Linked DNA regions of Alligator mississippiensis. The protein of the gene in region 2 interacts with the protein of the main gene of each other region in a pairwise test. Links are inferred from orthologs where the notes say so. Each region holds a gene or a part of one and is shown on either strand. Other genes may lie near its edges.

The links.
Region 1: the proteins of FARS2 (region 2) and RCC1 and BTB domain-containing protein 2 interact in binary tests that used the Homo sapiens proteins (3 or more experiments, as listed by UniProt). The two-hybrid records come from large-scale screens. The link is inferred for Alligator mississippiensis from reciprocal best matches to the Homo sapiens genes FARS2 and RCBTB2.

What each region holds. Positions count from the first base shown.
Region 1 is NC_081824.1:413,616,608-413,629,312, forward strand, and holds the start of RCC1 and BTB domain-containing protein 2, read right to left. Parts: upstream 5,947-12,705; 5' UTR 5,746-5,946; intron 1-5,745.
Region 2 is NC_081826.1:122,805,091-122,816,773, reverse strand, and holds the start of FARS2 (phenylalanine--tRNA ligase, mitochondrial), read right to left. Parts: upstream 5,172-11,683; 5' UTR 5,157-5,171; coding exon 5,108-5,156; intron 163-5,107; coding exon 46-162; intron 1-45. Other genes in the region: LYRM4 (LYR motif-containing protein 4), read left to right, coding at 10,542-10,627. UniProt on the Homo sapiens protein: Is responsible for the charging of tRNA(Phe) with phenylalanine in mitochondrial translation.

The DNA.
Region 1 (12,705 bases), on a different chromosome or scaffold from region 2:
CTCTCCTGTTCAGCAAGGGACCCACACTTTTCCTGATCCTCCTCTTGTTACCGACATATTTGTAGAAACCCTTCTTGTTACCCTTCACATCCCTTACTAGCTGTAACCTCAACTGCGCTTTGGCCTTCCTGACTTCATCCCTGCATGCGCAAGCAATATTCTTATATTCCTCCCTAGTTGTTTGTCTAAGTTTCTACTTCTTATCTTATAAGCTTCCTTTTTGTGATTTAGTTTAGTGAAGACTTCCCTGCTAAGACAAGCTGGTCTTCTGACATACTTGCTAGTCTTCCTGCACATCATGATGGTTTGTTCCTGCATTCTCAGTAAGGTTTCTTAAAGTACAGCCAGCTCTCCTGGACTCCTCTCCCCTCGGTCTGGCTGCCCAGGGGATCCTGCCCATGAGTTCCTTAAGCGAGTTGAAGTCTGCTTTTTTGAAGGGTCCTTACTCTGCTGCTCTCCATCCTTCCTTTCCTCAGGATCCTGAAGTCAGTCATCTCACCATCACTGCTGTCCAAGTTGCCATCCACTACACTATACTCCCTACCAATTCTTCCCTGTTTGTGAGCAGCAGGTCAAGAAAAGCATGGCTCCTAGTTGGCTGCTGCAGCACTTGCACCAGGAAGTTGTTTCCAACACTCTCCATAAATTTGCTGTATTGCCTGCCTGTGCACTGCTGTATTGCCCTCCCAGAAGACGTCAGGGTGATTGAAGTCTCCCATGAGAACCAGGGCCTGTGACAGGGAAACTTCCACTAGCTGTTTGAAGAAAGCCTCATCCACCACTTTCTCCTGGTCTGGTGGTCTATAGCAGACCAATCCTCACCATGGCAACACCCTTGCTGTTCTCTCTTCGGACTCTAACTCAAGAGACTTTTGACAAGCCTATCTCCAGCTTCATACGGGAGCTCTGAGCAATGATATGGCTTTTTTTTACATAAAGTGCAACTCTTTTTCCTTTTCTCCCTTGCCTGTTTATATCCATCCATGATCATGCAAGCTATCCCACCAAGTCTTTGTTATTCCAATCATGTCATAGTGCCATGACTCTGCAAGGACTTCCAATTCTTTCTGCTTGTTTCTCAGGCTCCATGCATTCGTGTACAGGTACCTGAGGTAACTAGTGGATTGCCCCGATTTCTCAAGAAGAATGAGAACACCTCCCCTGTTGCCCCCTTCTGCTTGCTCCTCCTCCAGGTCCACCACTTCCCCACTTACCTCAGCCCTTTGGTCTCCATCCCCCAGTGAACCAAGTTTAGAGCCTGATTCTTTCTTTTTCAAACTACCTGTCATCATCTTCCCTAGCCAGGTCCTTATCCACCTGATTCCCTGAACTAATCCTCATCTTCTCTAATTTAACTGATAATTATCCATGTTTATCAAATGTTTTCAGGAATTCTAATTTCTTCAGAGGCTACTGAACTTTTGGATTTTATAGATGAACATCTAATATGTTTAGGTAGATGACATCTAGTATGTTTTCTTTGTTCAGAAAATCAAATTAATTTGCCACAATCAAACTTTTGGTATATTTAAACTGTATTTTATACTGTAATTCTCATTTACTTCTGTATCTTTATTCTTTCCTACAAAATTTGTTATAAAGCCTAGAATATTATAGTGGTTAGACTAATGGATTTCTTGTTGCCCAGAGTACTTTTTCCTTTCACAAGTACTCAGGGCCAGACACAGGCACGGGTGAACCGGGCGGCCACCTGGGGCCTGAAAAAGGGGGCCTAAAGGGAGCCCAAAAGTGCTAATTTTAAAATTATTATTATTCTCTCTGGTGAAGTGTGGCCCAATATTAAACGTTTGCCCGGGGCCACCAGGAGTCTAGGTATGGTGCTGCAAATACTGCATTTGTTATTCTCAAATCATGATACCAGCCTTAATGAGTGTTGGGAGTCACCGCCATGTGCCCTGGGTTGGGGCCAGAGCTGACACTGCCACCACTGCTGCGTGCACTAGCTCAGAGCCTGAGCTATGTTGCCAACACTCCTTCCTCATGCCATGGCTGGATCCTGCTTCACAATCCAGATTCAGCCCAGGGCACAAGGCGAGTCTCACACCCCTCCTTTGCATAATCTAACTCAATTTTTAGCAATTCTGGTTTTGCTACTGCATTTCTTGACCTCTGAGCAGTGTTGCCACATTTGAAAACTACAAATACTGAATTATAACCTCAAAATTATTGTTCTTAATGAAAAATTATTGTACAACACAAATATTAAGAATATGACATACTTTTTAATCTTTACAAATATTTCAATCATTCCCCTCACCATAAGCTTTGAGAACTTTCACATTTTAGTTGCATTCCACTTGGGAACTGCTATCCTCTGCTGCTACATGTTTACCTTTAGAACAGAGGTGAGCAACCCCCAGCACGCATGCCAGGACATGGCACACGAAGGCATTTTGCTTGGCACTCACACCTTGGAGAAGGGGCTGGGGTTGCATGGCCACAACAAAGGGGCCCCTGGTGGCTTCTCTGCCATCCGCCCTGGCACGCCAACATCTTACAAGTCAAGGTTGCAGGTGTTTTTGGCACTGCCTAAAAAATGTTGCTAATCCCTGCTTTACAAGCAATGTAAAGTGTGTAACATACCTCAAAATTAGTCCATACACTTGAGGATCAATCCAAAGACCATTTAAGGTTGAATAAACAAGGAAAACTTATCTAATATAAAAATTTTCTTCTGTAAGACTCTTTGGATGTTTCTGAATTAGCTTACATTTAGGCATTTTCAGAACAATCTATTTTATATTGTACATGGGTCAAATTTACTATTCAAATGCAATCATTATTCTAATCAAACATCTGTTGGCACTGCCTCCCACCACCGACATAGCATTCTTTGTGGATCAGCTTTTTCTGCTCTTTGTTTATGCCAAATATCCTTGTAAAAGGTGGTCATTCATCCAGTTACTCTGGAGTTCTTCAATACAAAAGTTTTCTCCTTTTCCTCCCCTTTGATAAGCAACTTTGGGTGCAGACAGAAGTGCTGCTCCGAGCTGTAACTCAGAACAATTTTTGCAAAGTGTTTGGAGTTGCACTATTCCCTGAGACCAAAAAGAAGTTCACTGGTGGTTCTAGGGGAGAGGGGAATCTAGCTGTGGGCTGGGAGCATGCAGCCAGGTTCCCACAGCAATGGCCAAGGCTCTTTGCCAGTGCTTGCTGTTTTCAGAATAGGAGGGAGGAAAGGCAGTGGAGGGAGCTCATTCTAGAGGCTCCTCAACTGGTGCTGAAGGGTGGGGTGGGTGAATTGGAGCCCTCCACCTTGGGGGTGCTCCAATACATCTGCCCCACACTTGTGGGGGGGTGAAACCCCCACAGACTGAACTTCCTCTGCTCCCTTTCCCTTCCATTCTGAAAACAGCAACAGGCTGGGAGTTCAGCAGACACAAGTTACAAAAGATGCTACAATCTGATACCTTGTGCAATGAAGGGTCACATTTTCACCCAATCGGCCACTTTTGAAGCTGTCTGCAGCCTTGCACTTGTTTGGTCACAGCTATAAACTGCTTTCTGTGGCCAGACTGAGTGAAAATTGTCACTTCTGTTTTCACCCTTTAGCAACTCTGATTTAAAGAACTTCCAAACCTTTAGCATCCCTGAGCATCTCAGTCCATTTGACTTAGCTATCTAGTTCTTTAGGGAAGCGATTTTCAACTTCTTTAGCATAAGAACACCTCTCCCCAACTGTGCCTTTGTTTCTGGGAGGCACAGAGGCATGAGGACACCAGACCGGGAAGAGCTGCAGCATAAACTGGCTCTCCTATTCGCATTAGGCTTGTCAGAGAACCCTAAAGAGACCATACGTGCCCCACAGTCCTTTCTGGTCTGGCTCTGCATGAGGCACAAGGGGCACTTCTTTTCCTGGCTGCGTATGCAGCAGTAGCACCCCTGAGGGGGTTTATGGCACTCTTGCTGAGAACCACTGCTTTAGGCAACAGGCAGATAAAACATTATACCAAGTTATAAAGGGAAAGGGGATCTTGCCACACATCAGTTACTTTACAGTTTTTCTATTTTGTGAAACAGTTAAGTTTCTGTGTCTTAGCTTCTGCTGACTTCAGGAAGAAACAGACACATAAAACAAATGTCAAGGAGCAGCTCATACACTGTAATTCTCCCCATCTTTAACTCAATGTAACTTTGTTCCTTTATCTATACCTGTGGTTCTCAAAACTTTTTTAAACTCAAGATACCTCTTATTAGATGCAAGGCACTCCTCTTGACTACAGAAAAATAATAGAGCATTTGTTTTCTGTTACATCAGAAAGACTACAACAGGTCATAATGTTTTTAACACTCTGGATTTCTATTTGAAATCTCTGGATTTATTTTCTGAATCACATAGGTGCTTGCACACTAAACAGTGCTAATTGCATGGCACCCCATGGCAAGCTGAAAATGATCTTACCCTGTGGCATCAGAGTGCCACAAAAGCCTGATTGAGAATCGCTGGTCTATTTCCTGAGTTTCAACCCGAGGAGTCTAGAGACAACTTTCAGCAATATCACTGTAAAATTTCATCTACAAAGTGCACATCCACCCTGCCTCCAATATCTATAGTGATTTTGGCCCCACCAGATATCATGGATTTGAATAAAAGAATAAACCTTTTATTCTTCTCATTTCTTTACTCTTATATCACATCAGTGTCACGCAATGCTACGTCACCACCCCTGTCTATTTCTTTCTTGAACAGTGCATAATCAGCAGTATCTTTCCAGTCCTGCTTGCTGTTCTACCATATTTCCGTTGTCCTTATATCTATCTTTACACCTTGAACCAGTAGTTCAAGTTCCTCCATCTGGCAGTCTAGGCTTCTTGCAAGATCATCCAAACATTTCATTTCTTTGTCACTGACCTGAACTAACTGCATTGCCTGACCACTGTTCTCATCCATCTCAGTACTCCCTGGCCCTACCAATCTAGCTGCTTCCTAACCCCTAGTATTCCTTCACCTACTGTCATGTCCTCATTTACCACATTCCCTCTTCCTGTGCACTAAAATCAAGCTGAGACTATTCTTAATAATGTAACCCCAGGGTAGGCATCCAAAGAAACCCCTGATATAGAAGTGGGGGCCTCCACTCTGCTCAACAGTAAGGCTTCACGTCAGGCTGCGATGGGTGGAGTGGCGTGACATCCTCCAGCAACAGACATGCCTGGCACAAGGTGCAAGGGGCAGCGCTGCCCGAATGCTTCCGTGACAGAGACACCCTGGGAAGAGCTGGCAGGACAATGAGGGAAGCTTTTTTTTTGGATGACAAAACCTTGTGTACAGACAGCCAGGACCCAGTGACAGAGTCCTGCTCTAGCTCAGGGCTGAGGGGGGGATGGGAGGAAAGCAGCTTACGGGGGAGGTGCCCGCCCGGCTGGTCAGGGGAGGAGCAGTGGGGAGCACTCCCCTAGGAAGCTGCAGGAAGGGCTGGCCCAGGGGCTGCACACAGAGACGAGGCCCAGCAGGGCAGGCTGTCGGCGGTGGCAGCAGCAGCTCCTCATGCTGGGGCGCGCGCTGCAGCCGTTGCTTTCTCCGCCCCGCCCCGTCCCGCCCCCGCCGTGGCGCAGCAGCGCGGCCCGAGCCAACGTTCCTGTCACGAACGTTCCACGCAGCGCTCAGCCGTTAACTGCCGCCCTGAGGCGGGGGGGCCGTGCGATCGCCGCACGGCTCTCTCCCCGCTGTCTGGGGAAGGGAGCAGATAGCTCCAGCAACACCCTGTGGCCGACATGGCTTACCTTCTCCACGGCGGCGGCGGCGCCTCCCTCCAATGAGACAAGGGAAGATGCCGCTCCGCTCAGGCGCTTCAGCCGTGAGGGGCGGGGGATGAGCGCCTCCCACGGCACCACCTCCCGCTCGAGCTGCGGCGCAGAGTTTAAGCCACCTGCCTTTGCTAGGCGTCTCGGAGCTCGGGGGTGTTTGGGGGGCATCGCAGTGACTCAGCGCTCGCCCCGGAGACAGATTTCCCGCCCCCTGCGCTGAGCAGGCGCGCTTTTTTCCCCGCTGTCACCTCCCCCCACACCCAAGCCTGTCTGAGTTTGCTGAGCTCCAAGCTGCCTCGGGTGTGGGCACTACCCCCAGGCCATTCCCCACCTCGCTTCCCCACACGTCCCCTGCCTCCTGAAGGACGCAAGCGCCAATGCAAAGTGTGACGAAGACCCAGAGGGCCACATGGTCCAAGGCACCTTAAATGTTGAGGGGTTTTTTTAGTCTGAATAGGATGCTTAGAAAGAAAAGTGAGGGAGGGGAAGCCAGTTGCTTATGGGCCAAGTAAGTCCCAGGATTGAAAAAAACAGTGGCATTCCAAATAGGATAGTGGACAACCCTCTTGTTTTTATGGGTTGGGAAATTGGGGGGGTCCCCTATATCCCTACTGAAGTTGGGGACTCTGCCTAGCCTTCTGTGAGGGCACCTTAAAGTCCCGGTGAATTCTTGGGGCAGGGGGGAGTTGCAAGGCATTTAAAGTAGCTCTTTGTCGTCCCCCGCCCACTCCCAAACTTAGTACATGGAGGTTGTCTGTTGTCAGCTGGGAATGGGGTGAGTGTCACACCCTGTGTCACCCCGGGCTCAGCTTGTCCTTACTCACCCCAGCCCGTGCTGGAGTGGCCCTAGGAGCAGCTGACACCGGCTGCCTGCACCAGGGCAAGGCGCAGCCCAGGAGCAGAGGTGAAGGGACAGGCGGAACAAGGTGCAGCCCAGCGGCTGCAGCCAGCTGGTGCTGGCTGCTCCCAAGGCCACTGCAGCTGGGGCTGGGTTGAGTGCCACACTGCTCCCTCTGCTTTGCTGCCTTGTGCAGCCCTGGGAGCAGCACCCCTCCCCCACCCCTTCCCTAGTCCCAACCTCACTCACTCTCTCCTCCCTCACCACCATGGGAATCTATCCCTATTTGTTACATTGTAAAGTGGGTTCGTTTTATGCAAATTTGATTTACGCGCCGTTCTCCGGGAACGCATGTACCGCATAAACCGAGGGAAACCTGTATATTATTCAATTTAAGATCAAACAAAAACAAATATAATTATTGGTATGTCATTAATTTGCTAGATTATGTATTAAGTTGAGAAAAACACAACAAACTAAGCAAAAATAGTCAAAATAAAAGAAATTCTGTCATTAGTCCTGTAGCCATAGGTGGAGGGAGACATTTTTTGGGTTGGAGGAGGAGGGGGCTGAGTGCTCACATGCATGTGCGCACCCCCCCACAGAAAAGTCTGCCGGGGAAGGGGCAGAGGGAGGGGAAAGGGCCATGGGGGGAGAGTGGGGCTGGGACCAGGCAGGGATAGGAGCACAGCTGGGATCAGGGCTGGGGCCCACTGCACCCGTGCGGCCGCCCCTTCCCCCATGCTCGGAGTCGTTGCCCGGTGCTGGCATGCCTCGCAAATTTGCCACCCCCCCAGCCCCACACCAGCCCCAGCTGCCTCCCTGCACTGGGGCCAGCTCCAGCTGCACTGCTGGGCTGGGGGGGAAGGAGCTCATGGGACCCCCATGCCTGCCCCACATCGTCCCTGGGAAGAGCTTGGCACAGCCTGGCAACTCCTTCAGAGTCAAGGTGCTGGGCAGCCAGCGGTGGGGTGCGGGGCACGTGGCCCCCTGATCTTTGCACGGGGCAAGGGCAGGCTGGGTTCTGCCTACTCCCTGCCTCACTGCCACCTTTGAAAGTGGTGCAGTGTGGTGCCATGTGCCTCACTGCCCTGCATGCCCAGCAGCGCGACTCACATGGCACCATGCCACTTTCAAAGGTGGCAGCAAGGCAGGGAGCAGGCAGAACCCAGCCTGCAACTGCAGCCCGCCTTTGCCCTGTGCAAAGATCAGGGGGCCATGTGTCCCCACTCTTGGCTCTCCAGAGCCATGATGTGCCTCTGGAGGAGTTGCTGGACTCTGATTGCCCCATGACCTGGTCCAGATGGTGCCCCATTTGCCATGAATGGGGCCCCGGCTGGTTGTGAGCCCGCCGGCTTGTCCAGAGGTGTGGTGTGGGGATGCCAAGGGAGAGGGGGAACGTGCCTTCCCTCCCCCGACTCCCCCCACAGTGCACAAGCTGCTGGGCTCCGATTGCCCCATGACCCAGCCTGGCCCCGTGAATGGGGCCCCTGCCAGTTGGGTCATGGAGCAATCCCCACAGTGCAGCAGGGAGTGTGTTGGGGCAAATGGTTCACCCCTGCCCCTACCCCACTGCCTCCTGCACTGTGGGGATCTCGCTCTGTCCCACCTTCCCCCGAAGCCCAGGTAAAGAAAACAGAAAGAAACTAACCTGCCTGCTAAGTTGGCTGTGATCCTGACCGCGCAGAGTATGTGTGTATGTGCACACCTCTCCCCCGCTCCTGCAGCAGCCTGTGGCCAGGCTGCCCTAGGGCCCTACCTCCTGTCTGTGTTTGTGGGGCTGAGCCCAGTTAGCCCCTTCTCTCCCCCCACCCTGTTCTGCTGCCTATGCTTGTGGTCATTATAGTTAAATCTACATCTCTTATTCAGATTCACAAAACATAATCTGGCCTTCTTGAATGTCTTGATAGTGCCTCCAGTACTTCACTGTCATTACATTTCATTACAACTGAGTTAATATTACCCGAGTTAAGGTTTTCAGCTAGGGCTAAAAACAGTCTTCACGACCATGAAATAGATGAGAGACATTGCCAGGAATGGCAAACAGGCAGCAAAATGTCAGAAGAAAGGATCACTTCAAGAGTGGAACATCAAGTCCATTAAAAACAATGCAAGGTCATTAACACCTGTGGAGTGGAGAGAAAGTAGCAGAAATCAGGGAGATGATACTGAGCAACAAAGTCAGTTGACTCTGACAGCATTGCCGGGATAGAAATGCTACTGCCCCTCCCAGGCAGCTGGTTTTAAAGTTTGAGTGAAGCAGGAGTCAGCTACAACTGTACCTCACTGGATCTGCTCATGAAGGGACCTCATAAGACAGAGGCGGGCAATTATTTTGGGTGAAGGGCTGCTTAATGTGTTTGGGTGAGCTGTCGAGAGCTGCCTAGGTAGTCCTGACCCTTGACAGTTGCCCTGCCCCCTTATTGCCAAGGAAGGCCCAGGATGGAATAGGACCCCTACTAAATGGGCAGAAGCAATTGGTGACGGACGGGGGGACAAGGCTGAACTCCTCAACGAGTTCTTTGCCTCAGTGTTCCTAAGTGAGGGGCAGGACAAGGCTCTCACTGGGATTGTAGAGAGGCAGCAGCAGGAGGCCAGACTACCATGCGTAGACCCTGAGATGGTGCAGAGTCACTTGGAGGCACTGGATGTCTTTAAGTTGGCAGGCCCAGATGAGCTCCATCCGAGTGTACTGAAGGCACTGGCTGACGTCATTGCGAAGCCACTGGCGGTAATATTTGAGCAGTCATGGCGCATGGGCCAGGTCCCGGAGGACTGGAAAAGGGCCAACGTGGTCCCCATTTTCAAGAAGGGGAGGAAGGAGGACCCAGGCAACTATAGACCAGTCAGTCTCACCTCCATCCTAGGCAAAGTCTTTGAAAAAATTATCAAGGCTCACATTTGCAAGAGCCCGGCAAGACAAATTATGCTGAGGGGAAACCAGCACGGGTTCGTAGCAGGTAGATCATGCCTGACTAATCCAGTCTCTTTTTATGACCAGGTTACAAAATGCCTGGACACAGGAGTAGGGGTGGATGTCATATACTTAGACTTCAGGAAGGCCTTCGATACGGTATCCCACCCCATACTGGTAAACAAGTTAAGAGGCTATGACTTGGATGACTACACAGTCCAGTGGGTGGCGAATTGGCTAGAGGGTCGCACCCAGAGAGTTGTAGTGGATGGGTCAGTATCGACCGGGAAGGGTGTGGGCAGTGGGGTCCCTCAGGGCTCGGTCCTTGGACTGATACTCTTCAATATCTTCATCAGTGACTTGAACGAGGGAGTGAAGTGTACTCTGTCCAAGTTTGCAGATGACACAAAACTGAGGGGAGAAGTGGACACGCCGGAGGGCAGGGAACAACTACAAGCAGACCTGGACAGGTTGGACATATGGGCAGAAAACAACAGAATGCAATTCACCAAGGAGAAATGCAAAGTGCTACACCTAGGGAGGAAAAATGTCCAGCATACCTACTGCCTGGGAAATGACCTGCTTGGTGGAACGGAAGCAGAAAGGGATCATGAACATGAGTCGGCAGTGTGACGAAGCCATCAGAAAAGCTAATGGCACTTTATCGTGCATCAGCAGATGCATGGTGAACAGATCCAAGGAGGTGATACTTCCCATCTATAGGGCGCTGGTTAGACTGCAGTTGGAATACTGCGTGCAGTTTTGGGCGCCACACTTCAAGAGGGATGTGGATAACCTGGAGAGGGTCCAGAGAAGGGCCACTCGTATGGTTAAGGACTTGCAGGCCAAGTCCTATGAGGAGAGACTGGGGCACCTGGACCTCTTCAGCCTCCGCAAGAGAAGGTTGAGAGGCGACCTTGTGGCTGCCTATAAGTTCATCACGGGGGCACAGAAGGGAATTGGTGAGGTTTTATTCAACAAGGCGCCCCCGGGGGTTACAAGAAATAATGGCCATAAGCTAGCAGAGAGCAGATTTAGACTAGACATTAGGAAGAACTTCTTCACAGTTCGAGTGGCCAAGGTCTGGAATGGGATCCCAAGGGAGGTGGTGCTCTCCCCTACCCTGGGGGTCTTCAAGAGGAGGTTAGATAAGCATCTAGCTGGGGTCATCTGAACCCAGCACTCTTTCCTGCCTATGCAGGGGGTTGAACTCGATGATCTATTGAGGTCCCTTCCGACCCTAGCATCTATGAATCTATGAGTCTTCTAATTGGAAGCCCCACCCCCAAGCCCCTACCTTTGCTGCTGGAAGTCCTTCCCCTTGCCCTCCCAGAAATACTCCTTTTGGGAGCTGGGGTTGCCATCTTGGGACCAGAAAAAACTATATCATACACTAAAAGTCAAACACCTACTGTAACATATTTTAATTTTATTACAAAACATATTTTTATCATGATTTGTGTTTGCATACTGTATATAGAGGTGATTGCATAATAACTCAAGAATAAATTCTTACTTTTGTAAGTTGTGACAGGTGTATGGTAAGGTGTGGGTGGGGGGGTGTATATGGTGGGGGGGTGTTATGTGTGTGGTGTGTGTATGTGGGGGGTGTGTATGGTAGGATGTGGGAGGTTTGTGAGGGGGTGTAGCTGTGTGGGGGCATAGGGTATGCTGGGGGCTTGTGTATATGTGGGGGGTTGTGGGAGCAAGCTGTGGGTGTGAGGGAGGTTGGAGGTATAGGGACCCCCCTCACACGCCCCCCCATGGCACCGCAGCAGGCAGCGTGCTCAGGGAACAGGTGCAGCTCCAGCCAGCACTGCACATTGCAGTGAGGGGCACAGCCTCCACCAGTCTGCCTGTATTGCCAATGCTCCCTGTCACACATGTGCCGCCCCTGCACTCGCACAGCAGGGAGGGAAGCTCCATGTGCTGGAGCCAGGTGCCTTCCCCACCGGGGCTGCGCAGCACCGGAGAGAAGCCTCAGGCTGGAGCCGGCTGCCTTTCCTGCTGGGGCTGCACTGCAGAAGAGAGAAGCCCCAGGAGCCTTCACCTGCGGAGCAGGGAAGGCAGCCGGCTCCAGCACATGGGGCTTCCCTCCCTGCCTTGCGAGTGCAAGGGCTGCACATGCATGACAGGGAGCACGAGCAATACAGGTAGCCCAGCGGAGGCTGTTCCCCTTGCAGTGATGTGTAGTGCTGGCCACAGCTGTGCCATGCCAGGCACCTGCGCCCTGAGCGCCCCGCCTGCTGCTGCTGCTGCCACCACCTGCAGGGCCTGCACCCCCTACTCTCCCTCACACCCACACACTGCCCACCCCAGCTCCAAGCTGCCACTGCCCCCTGTCCTCCTGGTTGCAGGCTTGGTGTTGCCACTAGCTGCAGCTCCAAGCTCCATGTTCCCTCCCAGCCACAGCCCCTCCCCCACTGCTTCTCAACCTGCTGCCCAAAGCAAGCAGGAGACCAAGGAAGTGGAGCAGGTCCCAGGGGTAGCGGCAGCAGCCCCACATGGAAGCTGAACGCTGGCCGGCTTCTGCCCACAAGGGTGGGAGTCAGGCAATAGGGTACGTTTTTGGGGGCTGTGTATACATGTGGACGCCTCACTTCCACCCTTGTGGGTGGCAGGGCTGAGTGGACACAATTTGTTGGGGTGCCCCATGGGCCAGATGAAGGTGCTTGGCAGGCCAAATCCAGCCCACAGGTCATATTTTTTCCACCTCTGTCATAAATTTGTCTAGTTTAGCCCCCTTTTATAGAAGGATTGTCACTGAATAAACCATCCCAGCCAAGAGTCTGCTCAAACTGCTCTTGAAAATGTCCAAGGATGGAGATTCCACAGTTTCTCTAGGTAACTTGTTCCAATGCTTGACCATGCTCAAAGTCAGAAAGTTCCCTTTAATCTCCAACCTAAATTTCCCCAGCTGCAGTTTGAGTCCATTGCTCCCCTAGGCCTGTCCCTTACAGCCACAGAGAAAAGCCCATCTCTATATTCTCTATAATCACCCTGCAGGTATTTGAAGACTGTTATCAAATCCCCTCTCAATCTTCTCTTCTCCAGAATAAATAGCCTTAGTTCTTTCAGCCTTTCTTCATAAGTCTTGCCTCAGAGGCCTGTAATACTTTTTGTTGCACTTTCTGTACATCTTGCTGTGATACTTGGAGACTTGTACCATCCTGTTCAGTTATAC
Region 2 (11,683 bases):
ATGAGGGTCCCTGAAGGTGAGAGCTGTAGAAACAGAAGCACTTACTTCCAAAGAAAGGTGGGTTTTTTTGTCTGCTTTGGTCAGGGTGTTCTTCTGATCTTGCCTTTCCTTCAGAACGCCTGACACATGAGTTTGGGTATAACCTCCTCTGGAGATGAGAACCTATAGAATGGAAGACCAAAAAAGAAACAGTCTTCTGTAGCCATGGTAAGGAAAATACAGAATATTACCTGCACTTCTCTGTCCTTATGCTTCTTAGAGATCTCCCATACCCTCAGAGATCCTTCCTAAAATCACAGGCATCACAACCATGAATACTTCAAGTTCCACAACAGCCTTAAAAGCGATATTGAATAGAGGGGTAAAACTAAAATATGTCTTGAATTTTATAATTACAATATTCACTGAATGCTTGGGACACAAAATATTGTTTTCCTAATTAAAAAAAGGAAATATTTTTAAATTTAGACAGAAACCCAAGAATTAGTGGTTGTCCAGATGAGAAAAGAATCATGCTTTCTGACATTTTACCATGAACAACAGGCATAGTACTGTCTGGTTTTGCTACCAGATTAAAGTATCCACTAGATCACAGAAATATCATGAATCAAACTCACCTGCCACAACACCACCTCTAAGAAGCAGGGATATAAAAAGTTATTAATCATTTAACCAATAAGTGCAGTGATAACCAGTTAGCTTACCAGTTATCCTTTAGCTCTGGGTGGGCAGAGTCTAGCAGGGAATAGGGGAAAAGGAAAGCTGCACAGTACAGGTGCACGGCTATATCGGTCCAATATCAGATCGGCACCGATATAAAGAAAATTTACTATAATAGAAATCGGCAAGAAGTGGCTGATAATTTGGCCAATAAATGCCCATACATGTGTGCAGCCACAGTGCAGCACATAGGCAGCAAGCACAGCACAGCAGCTTAGAGAGCTGTGTACAGCTGGTAAGTCTGTTGTGGTGGAAAGGCAGGAGGGAGGCAGATTAATGTCCCCCATGGTGAGGGAGGGAGTGGAGCTGGGGTAGGCACTGCCCAGGTGGGGCAGGGTGAGCACGGGACGGAGCCGTGGCTTGTCCAGGGGGCACCAGGGGCAGGGGCAGAAAGCAGTTCCTGCCGCTGTCCGTGGCTCACCTGGCAGCTCATCTGCTTATCTGGTGGCTCCCGCTGCTCGTTCAGGAGGGCACAGGAGGGCGTGTGCTTGGGGTGGGCAGCGGTGGCACTGGGGGGGGCTACGGTGAAATTTGGTATGGCTGCAGTCCCCACCGCTTAACGCCCTCCCAGCACCACCACCACCCACCCTGAGTGCAGCACAGCCCCCAGACCACAGCTGCAGCCTGCCCTGCCCCATCCCATGCAGATCTGGGGACACAGCCCCCTCTTCCCACCATTGTGCCCTCCCAGATGAGCAGCGGTGAGAGCTGCTCTCCCCCCCCGGATAAGCCATGGCTCCATCCTGCACCCATCCCGCCTGGGTAGCAACTCTTATTCTTATCAGAGAATTTTGAATTTTTTAAACAGAGAAAGCCAGGATCCCTGCTAATGACTCATCAGTTAAGCAATTAGTTGTTAATTCACAGGTGCTCCCTCCCTCCCAGCCCAGGTGGGCTATGTTGTCTGGCTGGGCTTGCCTTCTCCTCTGCCCACCCCTCCTCCAGCCCCACACAGTCAAAGGGACCCCAGGAGCCAGGAGCTGTGTCAGAGCTAGTGTGTTATTGGTTAAACGATTAACCAATAGAATTAAAGGAAGTTAAACAAATTTTTTTTTAAACAATATTTACATCCCTACTAGGAAGTGGTACTGACAAAGGGACCAGCATCTCCACCTGTAAGCACCCTGGTAGGAGTTTGCAGAGGAAACATTTCAGTGAGAACTGTCCTAGCTCTCACTGAAGAACATTGGCAAGAATGCTGATTGTTTTGCCTTTCTGCTTTAACTTTGCATTTAAATGGCTTTTGCTTTTAGTTGACTGAAAATAACATCCGTCTTAAACATCAACCACTACTACAAGGAAAAAGGCACCCACATTTTCACTAGACATTGAGCTAGTGAACAAAATGAGTGGCCTCCTTGTGGCCCAAGTGTGTGTTGGTTCTGCCTAACTATTCCCTTCGCTGCTTTACACAAACCTTCCAAAGGTCCTTCTTTGGTTCAAATACCCTTGGTCTTTTGAAAATTAAAATATTACAGGATCTTATGTATGCATAGTTCTCCCTAGTATCAATAGATCTTTCATTTCACCATCTACAGCAATGTTTATATAATATGGGCTTTTGGCTTCTTTCCCTTGATTATCCTTTCCTTTGACCCAGATTCATTTGACTTCCCAAGATGGGCTGGCATTTTTTTTTATATATATTAACTTTTCTCCAAGCAATGGTTCCAGGAAAAAGGAGGTTTCTTTAACAAGGAAACATTTAGTGCAATGAATTTTATACATAGCCACAAAACATCCATGGCAAAAACAAAGCTCAGTACAACAAATTTTGCCTTAGCAAGGCTGCTCTCAACTGCAATTGAAAACATTTTTTTTTAAAAAGGTTTGCATTCCCATTTGTAACTGACCGGGGTGTCAGATATTCCAAGTCAGCCAAGAAATAAATTGGTGGCTATGAGCCACAGAAAAATGTAAATTCAGTTGCTCTTAAAATATCATTCCTTGTTTTCCAGCACTGCAGTTTGCTTTCTGTGCTAAAATCCCAGCATCAGCTAAAATAGAAAGAAAGATGAAAATAACTAAATATGTTAGCTTGGCTAAATGACAGCTATGGAGAAACATGATGAAAGTATAAATCACCATGGAGCGAAGAAACTGCAGAGAGTGCCTCTGAGGAACGTAACTAGGGTTAATGGAATGAAATTATGAAAGGGAAAGGCTGAGACTAAATATCAGAAAACATCTCCTGACCATGAAACATATTAAAACATGGAATATTCTGCAAAGGGAAGGGCAGTTACTTAAGACTGGACAAAATACAAAAAAGTATAACGTAGAACACAATTTTGAAGCTTTATGGAACACGGCCCTTAATGAGACTTGTTCATCTCTAGTCTCTTAATAGGATTTCAATATGAAGAACAGAAAATGGACCCAAGAAATATTTGAAACTATATCACAGTATTAAGGTTAGGAAAGTCTGTGGAATTTAGCATCACTATTACAGATTTAATATTTTAAGGGACAAAATAATTTATATTTTTAAATCTCTTGAGTTCAAGTGTAAAGTCTTAACACAAAGCCATATTTAATTCTGTACTTTCTGTAGCACTTCCTATTCAAGAATTTCAAAGCCCTTTGGCAGACATTTGTCCATTGCAAACTTCTTCCAAAGTGAGATATCGCATACTAAAATAACATATTTTAAATCCAAACATTAAGGTCTTGCTAAACTGTTTAAATGTTTAAGAGCTCTTCTCTGAAGTAGCTCTGTTGTGCATATAGCCCACCTATTCCTTTTTTGCACAAATTTTTGTCTATTTCCAAAAGCTTTCCATTTCATTAATACACTTTCTATCTATTGATGACATAAAGAAGGAAAAAATGTAACTAAGGAAAGCAAGACCATGCATACTGAAAGACGATCAGCCTCCTGCAATAGGATTCATAAAGGAAGAGAATTTCTCGCATAGGACTTCTTTTGCTCTTTCTTCCCCCCCATGCAAAATAAAACCTTTAAGGTGGTATTTTTCAAAGTCCGTAAGTAATTTAGGAGCAAAGCTACCATGGAGAATCAGAGACCTGTGTCTTTAAATCACTTAAGAGCTTTTGCAAAAATGTTTCCTTATCCTCCTTTCTCAAGACAATCACAGGAACAGAAAAAAGAATGACTAGCTGTAGAAAGAGTTATTCAGGACATCTTTTTTGTTATTAGAACAAATAATTCTATCCAATGTAGGCAGCAAACAAACTCTTATTTAGTTATAATTGACTATAACATTGGCTGGAAGTTAAATTTTACCGTGAACTGCATTTCCAGTTCAATGGCTTTTGAAGAGAGATACCAAGGCAGAATCTAGCTTTTGAGTAATGCTGCCCATCAAGGAGCAAAAGTAATGAAAGTTAGAGAGAATAAGAACAGCAGGAGGGAAAAGAATTTATTACATTTTTACAAGCTGAAAAATAATAATTAAAAGAGATGACAATACCATGACAATCAATTATCATTCTGACCCCAAAAGAAAAATAATCAACATGAACAACAGCATAACAGGAAAGCACATGCCCTCTCAAAGTGTTGAGTGCCCCGTCATAAAGCTGAAATAGTGCACGACAAAGAATAATTTAGGTAACATATGACAAAGCTACAAATACGCCCTGGAGAACGCAACAGCTGCTTTGTTTCACACAGTTCCATAGTCTCTACAGGTATTTTGTTAAAAATTCTTTTTCTGCTTCTACAGATTTAGAACATTATTAAGTATGCCAGATGCTCATGTTATTAGATCATTCTCAAACTGTTCATATATCCTAGAAGATAAGGCAAAGAGAGACCTACCCAATTTCTCCTCACTGACCTGCGCACACCCGCTGAAAAAGAACACTGCATAAAACACACCCAAGTGACCATCATCCAGCAAACTTTTGACAGACTAGAATTCTACCAAGGTTTTATTCAAGATGAGACTGAACACATATCATCAAACTCCCTATATTTTTTAAACAAGTAACTAACCACAATAATGCAGCTGTCACAGATAAAAATTAATTAAGCTTGCTCCCATATGTCAGTGACTTGAGCAAAGCACAACCAAGACCTTTATCCTAAAGAAAAGCAGGGCTTGTTTTTGCATAATCCATAGCTGCTGCACAAAATTAAACATAATAATAAAATTAATCACTGTATCCAATTATACCATCAGCGTAAAAAGAAATGCCATTTCTGTCTGGAAACTGTGCTACTAGATTCAAGGAACACCTGAGATTATAACTAAAAAGATAATAGAAGGTAAGGGGACGGCTCCACTTTTTTCAGTTTTCCTTTTGTATCCAGTAAAAATTTGTGCATTGGGTTCTTCTGCTTGGCTTTTTGACAATGTGACTGTAAAGCCATAAAAGTTGGCAAAAGAACTGAGAAGAAATAGTAACTATTTTCAGGTACCCAAAGTGTATGGCAGCGCCCTCAAGGCACGCAAGCTAATCCTGTGCATGCTAGCTCTGGAACAAAAAATAAGGCAGACCCTTTCCTGCTTAGGCTAATTAGCTTCCCTGGGAAGCAGGTCTGATTTGGTCAGATGCAGCACCACATATTAACACAGCTTTACTGCTTCTCGTTATGGACCGAGCATGTTCACGCTTGGCTCAAGGCATCTAGTACAACCTTTAAATCACTTTTAAATGACTTAATCAATTTAAGGGTTATAGAGTCCCCAAACACACACACAAAAAAACAGGTTAACCCTTTATCTAGTCTAGTCTTGCCTTCTTCCTCATTATTCAGTAGATGAAGAATAGAGCATCGGAACCTCTAGCTTTACTAGTGAAGGAACGAACATTCAAAATTTAGAGGCGCTATCTGCCTAACTACTACTTTCTTCCCTCACTTCTGGAGTCATCACTGAACCAATGTATAAAGTTACTCTTACATATTGGATCTTTGTAAACTTTCAAGCCACATTTTATTGGCTACATAAAAGACTTAATTTTTTTTGGATTTCTGAAATATATGGAGGAAAGAACAAATGTGGTTGTCTCTGAAACTTTTAGGAAGGATGTTAAATTTACAAAGAAAAATAAAAAATTCCACTTCAGTACATATTAAGTACCCAGACAAAGGCAAACATATGGCACAAGGACAATTAAAAGTATGTGCACGTGTGTCTGTGTGTAAACTCTGTTTGAGTTTCCTTAATATGCAAAACAGAACTAGTTTACATAAATCCAAGATTCACAACCACAAAGGAAACCTCAAAGAGAATGGTTCTACCATGGTATTTAATTACAGCTCTGTGGGACAATTCAAATTTAAGCCTTGCTTTTAATAAAAAATAAGTAATGTGCTGTACAGAATAAAACAATGGAATTTATTTTAACTTGATTGGTTTTCACAAGCCTCAAAAGGAAGCTAAAACAAAACTTGTGTGCGTATAATACATAAGTTGACACAGAGACAAGTCCAACAAAGATGTTTTGATATTTATCTGTTATTTACACATACACAAACAGATCTGGTTTACGAACACAGCCTAAACTGTACCAGAAATACCGATGGAATTAACAAAACTCCAGTATGCCTACAGAATAAAGCATCGTCTCGTACAGTGAGAATGCATAAAACACCTGCAGTGTAGGCAGATATATTCTTTTCTGTTTAATTTTCATATAATAGACAGACTACAACACTGCAATCCACATATTAATTCATATTGATGATATCGTACAAAAAAAATAAATCAGTCATGGATACACATATGGCATAATACTCATGGATTAGGATGACAGCATTAATACTATTAGTTGCAAAACTACCAGCAGAGTCAGGGGCAAGAGATGTTTTGTTTGCAGGTACAGAAGACTGGATTCTTGCAGGGTAGATGGGAGAGGAGCAGAGACCAAGGATGTAAATTGTGAGGAAGTGCTAGTGTGTAAACAAGCAGAATGTAATTATTCATCATTAACTGTTCACTCTGTGAGCCAGGCACTGCACTGGAGATTTGGGGAGCTATTTTTTTTTCTGGGTCAGTTCCAACAAATTTCGGCCTTGCATAATACTCCTGGACCCACAACTGCAACACCCAGAATTCAATGCTTAACTGCAACACCCAAAATTCAACCTCCCTCCACCAATCAGAAATTCCCGTGCCAGGCAAAAAGAGGCTCAGGCAAAGCACAGATGAAAACAGTGAATTCTGGAAAAAAATCAAGACAACTTGTATTCCTGAGGAATATTAGCACTTAAGCTGGCTACAAGTTAACCATCCAAAAACTCACCAACTATGTAGAGCAACTCATGTTGGATCCCAGAGCAGGAATTGTTGAGCTATAATCTGTGGATTTCTCTGAACACTTAGAAATATTCTGAACTTGCCATGGACACATATACTGAAATTTGGGGGAAGCACAAGGAAACACAAAAGGAACTTGAACAATACCGGCTGTTGACTTGTCTTCTACCTTGGCAACTTTGTCACCTAACCAATTTGATCCCCCTTTACTCTTCCTATTTCAAAAGCAGGGTAACAATGGGCAGGTGAGTGGGGCATAAGCCCCAGGTGCTGCCCGGGGAGACCTTACCCTCCCTTCCACCACAACACCCTGCATCTTCCCTGCAGTGGCTCCAGCTCCAGTAGCAAAGAGGACAGAACAGCAGCAGCAGTGCATGGTGTAGGAAAGGAGTGGGCAACCTGTGGCATGAGTGACCTCTGTGTAAGGCATACGGCATATAGGGCAGGGAACAGAAAGCAAACAGATCACACAGAGAGCACAGGGTAGGAAACAAAAAACAGAAGAGACTGGGCAGGGAGCAGAAAGCACAGCAGCAGATTAGACAGCAGAAGGGAATCAGAGTGCCACTTGGGGGAGGCTATGGAGCTAATTGGTGACACCTGCCAAAAAGGCTGGCTTCCACTGGAGCACAAGCCTGAGGTTTGCTGCTGCATGGGGGAGACCAGGGAGGAGATGATGACACCTCCTTTTTTCTGCCATGGGAAATTAGTGTCAGCTGCAAAAGATGACACCCCCCTCTCCCCTCCCAGCCCACAGCATCAAAATTCTATCTACTGTAGGGGGGGAAAGGTTGTGAAAGGGGAGCTTCATTAACAGAGGCAGCTAACAGACAGCAGAATTGTAGAATAAGGGATAGCTTGATTGGTGGAACATCAAAACCATAGAGGGTTATTAACACCTGTGGAATTGTAGTAAAAAGACGTTAGCCCCCATAATTTTGCAGTAATGCTTGAGCAACAACCATATGATAGAAGTGTCTTATGACCATCTTATGACCCTTTTGTGTAAGATCAGGAGGTCTAACGTCCAAGCTGTGGTCTGCGGTTCTTACTGCTTGCCCTGCATTTTGAAATCATCTCTGTCCAGTGCCTCAAGGTTACGTTAAGATAGGAAGTTACTAAAGTTTAACTAACTTTGCTGAAATTGCTCTTTTCTTCTGCGCATGCTGCAATTCTACCTTTGAGTGTGCATGTACTAACCCTGATAAGTCACATTAACCAATAACTAGTTAAGTACAGCCTACAAGATAAGACGTCACAATTAGGAACTGGTACTGCAGCCAATAAACTCCTAATACGTTAAGACTCTGTTGAATGTAAGCTATAAAAATGTAATTCCGGGCCGGACTCATCATCGGCCCTGATTTGAGCGCTCTGCTCCCCGGTCGAACTGTTTGCAAACAATAAACCTAAATGGACCCAGCCTGTGTGTGTGACTCTCTCCTTGAGGGTAATTGAACAAGCCTCCAGGGGAACGAAACTAGCCGTTTTGGCAACAGAATGAGTTCAGAAGGGATCAGGTAGATGATAATGAGACATTAAGTCAATTGACTACCTCAGTCTGCTTCTGGTCTACCTGACTAGAAATGCTGCTGCCACTAACAGGAAGTTAGTTTTAAACTTTGGATGGAGCAGAAATCAAAGGGAGAAGGAGGGTGCAAGTGGACCGGTGCACCACCCCTGGATCCGCTCCCAGATTACATTAAAATCTATTCAGTGAACTGCACAGAAGCATAAAAAAAAGGGAGGGAGGGGGGGGGGAAGAGGGCAGTCTTTGGAGCTCCCAGTAAACTAGCAGGGGAAAGGTTTGAGAGGGTTGTTTCCTATTCCGTGACATGTCTGCAGCACCCCATTTTTCCCCAAGATCTGGCAAAGCGCCACATCTTCACGTTGTCTGTGGGACCTGACAAGAGTGTACAGCTGCAGGCATGAAAGGGAATAACAGCCAAGGGTGGCCCCAGGGGCTTCCAAACAGATGGTTTGCCTCTTCTCCCCACCCTCCCCCCAAAATATTTGTTTTTATCCCCCTTCAAATGCTTATTACCCACAGCCAACCCCTCCCCCCATACACACACAGGTCGCAATGCAGATTTCACACCGGATCTAATTTTAGCTGCAGCCCTGCCCGGCACATATGTTTGTGTGGGAAACAAGGGGACAGGACAGGACAGGACAGGACAGGACAGGACAGGATGCAGGGAACCAAGAACCCCTAAACAAGGGCCACACACCAGCAAACCTACTGGCACACGCAGTGCTGGCAACTCTTCTGATTTTGGGCGTTGCTCTTAAAGTCTACACTTCGGGCATGTGAAAAACTTAGCTCTTTCTTATATATCTATTTATCTAGATACACAGATTTAAAAGGGCTAAGCTTTAAATGTATAATTTAGAATTTGCAAAAATCTAGAACTCCTGGTTCAGAAATTATACCTTTTATTAGACCAACTGAGAAATAGCAAAAAAAATCATCTTTTTCTGCAAGCTTTCAGGCTCACATGTCCTTCATCAGGCTCAGGGAAAGTTAAAGATGGTAAAAAGCCCCCACGTACAAAATAAACTTCATTTTTTATCAAAGAGAAAGGTATCATTTCTGAACCAAGTTCTAGATTTTTGCGTTTCTTTTTGTCTCAGACCAACACGGCTGCCACACACACCCCTCATTCAAAACTTAGCTTTAATGAAAACGATACCTGCATAAATAAATGCATAGATACAAAAGAAAGACAAGGTTCCTTGGGTGAATTTGATATCTTTTATTAGACCAACCCAAATGGTTGGAGAATTCAGGTTCAAAAACCCTTCGTCAGGCTAAGGACGCTGCAGCAGTTGCTGCGTGCTCTTCCTGGATGGATACAAAAGAAAAAGCTACGTTTTTCACATGCGTGAAGCGTAGATGTTTAAGAACAACGCTGCACCCCTTACATTTATGATGCGCTTCGCCAGCCAACTGCGCAATAAACTCAGGCAAAAGGGATCCTCAAGGGATAATAAGAGTAATAATAATAGGACTAGAAAGTCAGGGCTTAAAAAATGATACAACTCCCGAGCTGGTCAGCCTCTACCTAGCTTTACACCTGAGCCCACAGCAAGGCCCCAACGCACGCACATTCCCCCCATACGCCACAATTACGCCAGAGGCGTAGAGTTACGCCGCGGGCGCCCGCCGGGCAGCGCAGGCGATAGAAGCCCGGGCGCGGGGCCCTCGCCCTGCTCCCCCCACCGCGCGCTCCGCACGAAGCCGCGGCCCCGCCCCCCGCGCCAAGGCTGTGCCTCGAGGCCCCGCACCCACCACCCCTCGCGCGCTAGCTAGCTCGCTCGCGCGCTCGCTCACCTCCCGCTCGAGCCCGGGCCTCGCAGTGCCGGCGCTGTAGTTGCCAGCTACGCGCCTGACGCGCCGGAAGCCGCCCACTTCGCGCCGGGGCAGGGGAGGCCACGGCTAGGGCGGGGAAAGTGGGGTGCGGGAGAAATAACGAGGCCAGCCCCAGCGCTCCCCTCTCTAGGGCGTGCCGGCGGCGCGGGGGAATCAGGCATTTGTGAAGGGCGCCCCCGCGCTGAGCGAGAGGGGGCCTTTGCGAGAGGACCGGCAAGATGGCGGCGTCCAGCCGAGCGGAGGTGCTACGGATCTACCGTGTCCTGCTACGGGAGAGTCAGCGCTTCGCCGCCTACGGCTACAGGTGCGGCCCGGCGGGGGGAGGGCGTCGTCCTCTCGTGGTGGAGGGGCAGGGCCCGGCCCGGAGGGAGCAGCGTCGGGCCCCTTTGCAGGGGCGACCCCGGTCTGGTGTAGTGGGGGGAGGCTGGAGCCTCCCCCCATCAGCCTGAGGTTTCTGGGGAGGGGGGCAGGATATGAAATTATCCTGGTGGAAGCTCAAAAGTATCCTATTGGCTGAAAAACACTAGGAAATATGTAAATGACTTTGCACATGACACACATTTCCCGTATATTGCTGACCCTAACTCGGTAGTGAGTGAGCAAGGGGAACTAGGTCATCAAAGTTGAAGCATTTCTTTATTTTGAGGTAAGCAGCCATAGGAGCGTTGGTGGTCTTTTGGCTAAGTTCAAGCGGTATCTGGGGCATCCGAACCCCAAGACCTCCAGGCTTGCACACGGGGTGCCTCCCCATAGATTTGGGAGCATCTGAAGCCCAGGGCTGAGGAGTCTGGGATGGAGGATACTTGCAAATGATGGCACCACATGGACTTGAGTGATTGAGCTCCGTTCAGTTAATAGGATTTGCAACTGATTTGACCTGGAACACAAAATAATAATCTTTAAAAAAAGAAAAAAAAGCGCAAACCCAAAAATTGGTTAAGATTCCCTGAGAGTGTCTTGGGTTTTGCATGTGCTACATCAGTGAGCTGCTTCAAAAAATATTGTACGTTTTGAATACTTTTACTGTTATTGATACTACATTGTACAACAGTACTTGGCAACACTGGGGTGGTTTGGGCCTTTGGGCCTTGTTGCACCTTGCACTGTGAGGTAGGTGTTAGTTCTAGTGTGAGTTTGTAACAGACACACTTCAGGTCAGCGGGGACCCAGGGGACTGGAAGGTAAGAACCTGCCCCTCTGGACTCCCTTTCTCCATCCCTTGGGGTTCCCCTCTGCCTCTCCTCACCCCCAAAGCATTATTTGTGGCTGCCTGTGTTGCCTTCCCTAGGGGAGCAGGCAGGGAATGGTTAACCAGCTTGCCTGGCAGCTGCTGCTGTTCTTGCCCAGAGTGGCGGCAATG